2 linked regions of the Rhinolophus ferrumequinum genome follow. The protein of the gene in region 2 interacts with the protein of the main gene of each other region in a pairwise test. Links are inferred from orthologs where the notes say so. Each region holds a gene or a part of one and is shown on either strand. Other genes may lie near its edges.

What was found. The genes of interacting proteins can lie anywhere in the genome.
Region 1: the proteins of CDA (region 2) and PLEKHB2 interact in binary tests that used the Homo sapiens proteins (3 or more experiments, as listed by UniProt). The two-hybrid records come from large-scale screens. The link is inferred for Rhinolophus ferrumequinum from reciprocal best matches to the Homo sapiens genes CDA and PLEKHB2.

The regions. Positions count from the first base shown.
Region 1 is NC_046293.1:92,344,637-92,348,383, forward strand, and holds the start of PLEKHB2 (pleckstrin homology domain-containing family B member 2), read left to right. Parts: upstream 1-1,169; 5' UTR 1,170-1,176; coding exon 1,177-1,285; intron 1,286-1,725; exon of another isoform or gene 1,726-1,745; intron 1,746-3,747. UniProt on the Homo sapiens protein: Involved in retrograde transport of recycling endosomes.
Region 2 is NC_046292.1:13,888,970-13,892,716, forward strand, and holds the start of CDA (cytidine deaminase), read left to right. Parts: upstream 1-1,150; 5' UTR 1,151-1,243; coding exon 1,244-1,397; intron 1,398-3,747. UniProt on the Homo sapiens protein: This enzyme scavenges exogenous and endogenous cytidine and 2'-deoxycytidine for UMP synthesis.

The DNA.
Region 1 (3,747 bases), on a different chromosome or scaffold from region 2:
CAGTATCCTTACCCCAGTCCAGGAGTCCATCCCGCTGCTACCCCACCCCCTCAGTTCCACACGGGCTTAAATAACATCTTAAAAGTTTAGCAGTAATGATAATCAAATTTCCCCTTTTCCCTCCGTTAAAAAAAATAGTCTTTTAATTTTGGAATATTCTTAGATTTGAAGATAAGTTACAAAGATAGTACACGCTTCACTCAGTTTCCCCTAATGTTAACATATAACCAAGGTACAATTGTCAAAACTAAAAGTTACTCATCATTACTATTAACTAAAATAAAGACTTTTTGGAATTTAACAATTATTTCACTAACATCCTTGTTTTTTCGTTCCAGGATTCCACCGGGACACCATATTACATGTGACAGTTTCTCAGTCTTTTCTTGTTTTTCATTACTTTGATAGTTTTGAGCAGTACTGGTGAGGTATTTTGTGGAATGTCCCTTAAGTATTATTTGTCTGATGTTTTTCTCATAGATAGACTGGGGCTATCAACACGACTTAGCACTGTCGATGTTAACCTTGATCTCATGGTTGAGTAGTGTTTGTCAGGTTTCTCCTCTGTAAAGTTATTTTTCTCCCTTCCCATTATGTACTCTCTTGGAGGAAGTCACTATTCACAGCCCACACTCAGGGTTGGGTGGTTGGAGAATAATACCGTCTCGGGATGGAGTATGATTAAGATTCTTCTATAAGGAAGATGTATCTTTTCTTCCCATTAATGTATTTTAATCATTTATTACAGCAGAATGAACTCTAGTATACTTTATACTCTGTTATAGTCTGACACTACGTAATTTATTTTGTTGCTCCAATTGTTCTAAGTTTGGCCATTGGGAGCTTTTTCAGGGTGACTCCTGTGTCCTTTCACGTGCCTCCACGCTTTTATTTTTTGAGCATTCTTTACGTCTTGTGCTACAGGATGCCCCAGATTCAGCTTATACTTTTCCGTGCTCCAGTTACAGTCACTCATTTCTCTAAGGAGCCCTGGCTCCTTTTATTGGAGGATGGTGTTTAGAAGTAAGAACGGGGTGCAGACAATTCCTTTTTGGTTGAAAATTAACCCGGGACTTAGGCAGGGACGAGGACGCCCAAACCCAAACGCGCCCCGCCACCTGGGCTCGCCCGGCCGTACTGCAACCCCCGGCCTGCGTGCGCCGGCGGGGCGTGCGCATGCGCAGCGGGCAGGAACGCGGTCCGGCTGAGCCGAGGACCCAGCGGCGACCTTGCGCTCCCTTTATGCTTCGGTGCGCGGAGGCTGCCGCCGCCCGGGTATTCGCAGGTGAAGGCCCAGTCTGGTCGCGGTGACCCCAGACTCCCTGGGGCTGCCCGGCCCCCCTTTCCCCGCCTCCTTCCCTCGCTGGGCATCGGCTCCCGTGGAGCCTCCCCGAGAGCTTCCCACTCCCGCGCGCCCCTCGGCCTCTCCTCGCCCCTCCTCTCCCCGGCCCGTTCGGCCTCTCCTGGAGCCGGTGCCCCGCCGCCAACCCCCGCTCCTGGCCGGCCTGCGCCCCCCACCGCCGCCTCGCAGGTGCTCCCCGCGGGCCGCCGCTTCCCCAGGTCCGGGCCTCGGGCCGCAGGAGTCCGGCTCCTCTTGCGCTCTTCTCCCGCGGGCCTTGCGCCCTCCTCCGGGTGCCGCGGTGGCCGAGCGGCGGCGCTCACTGCCAGGCCCGCGCCGCGTCGTTCCCCTCCTCGTGGTTGTGCGGTGCCCGTAGCTCTGTGTGCGTGCTTGGACCGTATTTATAGTGAGGCTTTGTTTCACGTTTGATTCTCACCCGACTGGATTGGGAACTCCGGTGGACGTCAGGGATTTTTGTTTCGCGTCGGCCCAAGATTTTTTGTTTGTTTTTAAATCTGAAATGTAGCGTAATTGACATAGAAGAGGCTTCGTAAATGAACGAATAATAAAGTTCCGGTTTTTCGGGGTCGGTGGAGGAAATGAATGAGGTGGGAAGGTCACATTGTCAAAAAACCTAGGGGAACGTGGTGAATTCCCAACGCCTTGGACTCCTGGCCCCCGAGAACCTTTAGTTCCCAGACTGGGAGCCACACCGCCCGAGGGCGGAGCGCAGCCATCCAAAGGGAGGAAGGTTCCTGGGCCTCAAGGTATTGAGGAAACTAGTGCCAGTGCCGGAAGTGACTTGTGTAAAGTCACACGGGGAACTTATGGCCTTTAATATTTATTGAACAACGTAATGACCAAAAGACCCGTGTCTGTGTGTTGTGCAGTGGGAGTGCCTAAGGGCCAGACTGAGTGGGAATGCGCCTGCTACTGGTTCTCGGTGCGCTAGAGTGTTTCCTAGGTCCGCGAAGCTTCTCATCCTGGGCTGCTGGTTATTGATGGGACGTAGGAGACCCTCTGGCTGGGCAGGTGCTTGTCTGGGCTCCCCTTGGGCCTGGGGTTCGGTAGTGCTTTCTTTACTTGACTCCCCACTCCCTCATCCCCAATCTCAGGGCAGGAATGGAGCTTACGTTGCAGCATCATCCTTGGCACCTAACAGTGTCTGGTGCTTTGTAGGTGGTCAGTAAATGCTTACTGATGCTACCAAACCGGAAGAGGGCCCGGCCATTTAACTGCAGCAGGGCCAAACACTGAACACTAAGTTTTGCAGTAGAGAAGTTAGAACTGTTTATTGATAGGGCGACAAGCTAAGAGAACAGCAATCTATTGCTGACAACCCGAACTCCCCATGGTTTTTAATCATGGGTCTTTAAAAGCAGAAATTGAGCGGTGGAGGTCAGGAGCGAAACTGATGGGTTAGTTCTTCAGCAAGCTTTTAGCAGTTTTCCTGAGTCTCATTAATTCAGTTCCTGACATCATCTTGTCTGGAGTCTTCCTCACTCTGGTCAGGTGATATAACTGGGTTGAGAAACCAAGATTCTGGAAAATATCTCCTGATTGTGTCGGTGATGTTTATCTTTAAAACAAAAGGCAGAAACTAAACATCTTATGATCATTGTTACTGTTAAAGCTATCATTGCTGTATGCTTAACTGGCTACATTTTTCTATTATCTCAAGCTAAGTGTACTTGTAAACATTTTTCCTGGAACTTTACAGGCAGGCCTCCAGGACGAGACTGACATACTTTCTTAATCTTTGACTATAAGCTGCATAGCAACCAAAGCAATTGCAACATTTAGTTAAAGCCTGTAGAACATCCCTATACTCTATGAGCTAATACCTAAACATGTTTACTGTTAACTGTTGGTTTCACTGAAGGAAGCTGCAGAAAAACAACTCAGAACCTGACAACAGTTCTTTACTAGCATTGTATTTTTAATGGTGTGAACGCATTCTGTAAATTTCCTGATAATCTCAAGGACCGAATTTATGAAATGTGTACACCAGTGATATAGGAAGAACAGATACCATCCCTATAGTCATATTTATTATTCCTTGGCAAGATAGAGGTTTTTCTTCAGTCTCTCTAGCTGCTTTGCTACGCTTCCCAGCTTGCCATCCTACATTAATACTTTGTTTCTTTCTCCGTTTTTACTGGATATCTAAATAAATTAAAGAATTACTTTATTAGTGTAACTACCAGAAACTGCAGAATAACATAAACAATTAAAAATGTTACAAAAAGTGGGTTAGTTGAACCAGTCATGTCTTATTTATGGTTGTGTATTTTCTTCTGAATTTAATCATGGGGACAGAAATGGGAACTTTTTTGCCTCTTGGTCTTCTTTGTCTGCCTGCCCTTTGAAGAGTGTTTGTATTGGGCCTGTTATTAAGAAGTGGCTGC
Region 2 (3,747 bases):
AGTGATGACAGTAACTGGAAAGAATGCTAGGCCATGAAGATTGTAATCGTCAAGCATGGGGGGCATTGTGACTAGTAAGCAAGTCTAAGTTTCAGGGTATTATCTAAAGCAGGGAATTGGAACAGGGGCACCGAGCCCAGGAACAGGGACGGGGACATTCCAAGCTCAAATCGCAGGGAGGGGGTTGACCAATTGTTAAGCTCTAGGGCAGGGCTCTCCTGGGCAAGGTCTCTTTTGTGGGGGTCCCAACCACGCCCTGTTTCACACCCATTTTACTTTTACAGATGAGGAAATTGAGGATTCGAGAGGTGGTATTAACTTCCCAAGGTCATATGGTTAATTCATGGCACATCTGGAACTCAAACAAGGGTCTGCTAAATGCCAAAACTTGAACTCTTCCGTGATCCCAGGATGTAGAACAGAGATTACCACTATCCCCACCACAGAGATGAGGAAATTGGCTCAGAGAGGTAAAGTAGCCTCCCCACAGTTATACATGCGGAACATGGTAGAATCAGGATGCAAACCTATTTCTTTTATCACCAACCCAGTGTCTACCTTGCCTGAGTAAAGGATCTCAGCAATTCCTTCCAGCGAGATGCTTTTTAATTCCGGGTTGAGACAGGGAACAGTTGGAAGGAGAACGGGTGAAAATAAAGAAGAGACTTGGTCTTGTTGCTGTACTTCACACTCCATGACTCAGAAAGCCAGTGTGGTTGGCCCAGATCCTGCCCTGTCAGCCTCATCCCTTCCCTCAGTGAAGATTAAAAAGTCATTCAGCCAACAGGGTTTGCAACCCTTGAAGCTTGGACTTCCTAGACCTCACGCTGACCCACCCAGCAGCTTTTTCCCTGAGGAGTGTGTGTCCACAGTCCCCATCTATCCAGGGACACTTGTTCCCTGATCCACTCACCTATCAGTGTGTAAGCAGTGAGAGTGGTTCCCAAAAGAGAGTGTGAAACACACATGGGCACAGTCATGTCCTTCCACCCTGGGACACACACCACACCCTCTGACCCCAAACCAGGGGGAACTCCTTTTCCCATTTGGCCCAGCCCAGCATCCCTCCAGGCTGGCAACTGGAAGCCTCCCCACAGGGACACACCCTGGGGGAGGAGCTGCTGTCCTGGCGTGTCCCAGCCCAGCCTAGCAGCGAGTTCCTTTACTGCTACTCTACCAGGTCCCAGCCCAGCCTGGCAGGGAGCTCCCGTTTCTGCTCCTCCACTGGCCCTGTGGGATTGACATGGCCCAGGAGCGTTCTGCCTGCACCCTGGACCTCAAGCACATCCAGCAGCTGGTGCTATCCTCCCAGGAGGCCAAGAAGGCTGCTTACTGCCCCTACAGCCACTTCCCCGTGGGGGCTGCCCTCCTCACCAGGTCCGGGAGGATCTTCTCAGGTAAGGCTGAGGGCTGAGCCCCTCTGACAGCCTGATAGGGGGAGGTCAGAAGAGGATAAGCAGGAAAGGCGGGAGGCTCAGGCAGGGCAGATGGCAGCTCTGTCCCCTCTTGGCTGCCCCCCACCCCAGTATAACCATTGGCCCCTGCTGCCCTGCCTAGTGTCCCAGACGGTAGGGATGAAGGTGCTGCTGAAATCTAGGTGGTTTCAGTCCTTGGAGGATTGGGAAGCCGTGGTGGGTTAAGGGAGGAGGTTGGAAGGAGAAGCCATAAATCAAAAGCATCAGCAGTCCTCTGTGCTGGGAGGGAGCGGGGCTAGTCCTTCCTGAGTCTTCCTCTGCGTGCCACAAGTTACATCAGCAAGTCCTCACCTCCAACCCACTGACCTAGGTGTCATGCCGTTTCTCAATGAAGAAACTGAGGCCCAGAGAGGTAACATGACTTGCTCAAGGTCACATAGGGCACTGGAAGTGGCACCCAGGGCTGTGGTCTCCAAAACGCTGCTTTCTTCCTGTCATCTACCATGGTGGCAAATGCCTGGAGGAGATAGGGAGGAATCCAGGTGGGGTGACTTGTTAATGGGGTACAGAAGGTCTTGGAGGAAAGAAGCCAGGTGGGGTTTGAGAGACCAGCAACAAATGCCAGCCTGGGAGGAGCAGACAGGAATCTGAGTTGGCACTAATCTGTCCTTAAGCTCTTTTTCTTTGGTTTGTTGGTTTTATAGAAAAGCTCACTTGAACAAAAATTCAAACTTGTCTTGGTTAAGCTAAGGGGCATTCTCTTTTAGGATAGTGGGAAAGGTGGTGTGGAGATGGCAGGGAGGTCATGGCCTCCCCACTGCTCCGATTTCCACAGAGGGAGAGAGGGACATGCCCAGAATGCCCTGCTGCCTGGAATCCCCCTTCCGCTTGGCAGCAGCTATTGAAAGGACCAGAGGCCCACATGTATACATCTAGTTGGTAACCCCCAGCAGGCCTGGGCCAAGTGGGAGCCACTCGCCTCCTCCACTGCTCAGGAGGGGCCCACACCTCCTCTTCTGTAGCGGCCCTTCTGGGGTCTCCTTGATATTCATGTTATTTCTTGTCTTTTGAGGTTCCGCATGGGTTTCAGGAGTCACCACCTGGGTCTTAAACATCTTTGAGCAGGAGAAGTAACCTTGACTGGGTGCTAGTATGTGAAAGGACCATCTCACCCTTACAACCCCGCAAGGCAGTTATTAGAGCGCCACTTTGCAGAGAAGGAAACAGAAGCTCAGAGAGGTTAAACGCCCAAGACCATGGATCTGGGATTCGAATCCAGAGTTCCCTTGTCTCCCAAGTTTGCTGGGGGGAATTCGGTGGGGAATAAAGAATCTGAGTGTCCTGTGGAAATTCAGGCTGGCCTGGTGGCTCAGATGAGTATTAAACATTAACCACCACCGCAAACAACGCTGCCACCCGCACTGGCCCATGGCACCAGAGCCTCGAACGTGGAATCAACCATTGATTCTTTCCAGTGCCTCCAACATGCTCTCTTCACCCTTGCATTGATCCATTTATTCAACAAATATTTGCCAAGCACCAATTATGTGCTAGGTAACGTATCAGGTGCTGGGGATACTGCAGCGAGCGGAAATGGCATATCCCCTGCCCACGTGGAGGTCCTCTCCTCTTGCACAGGCCATGGCTCAAAGTGGGAGCCTTGCCAGGGCTTGTAGGAGTGAATGAATGAGGGCAGCAGAAGCATAGCCTATTCAAATTGCAGGGGAGGACCTGGCGTCACCAAAGAAAGGGTTGTTGCCATGGGGATTTCGGGAGGCCCTCGCGGATGACCTGAAGACTCTGGGGTTAGAGGCTCCTCATTTTGAATCCTGGTGCTGCTGTTTATCAGCTGTGCGTTCCTGGGCAAGACGCTTGACCCTTCTGAGTCTCAGCTTACATTTGTAAATGGGGGATCATAATGTTCGCCTTTCAGGATGGCTGTGAACAGAGCTGGTTGGCCTGGCCCGGCGTGGCAGCCAAGGTCACCCCTGATTGTCGGTGCCCATGCCGCATCAGTCACTGAGTGTGTTGAATCTCACCCTGGTTGTGAGGCTTTAAATGAGCTAATGCCTCTAAAATGATTGGCACCGTTTCTGGCCCACAATAAGGGTGTCACAAATGGTGGCTGCTTTTACTTCTACTATTAATGGTCTGAGGCTAATGATATGATGATTTGGAGACAGATGGTGGAGGATTTTGGAAGGCCAAGCAGAGACATTACGATTTGATGAAGTAGGACGGAGGGAGTCAATGAATGTTATTAAGGAGAAGAATAACATGAAACTGGTGTTTGAGGGCAATTAGTCTGACAGGTACTCAAGAAGGGCTGGGG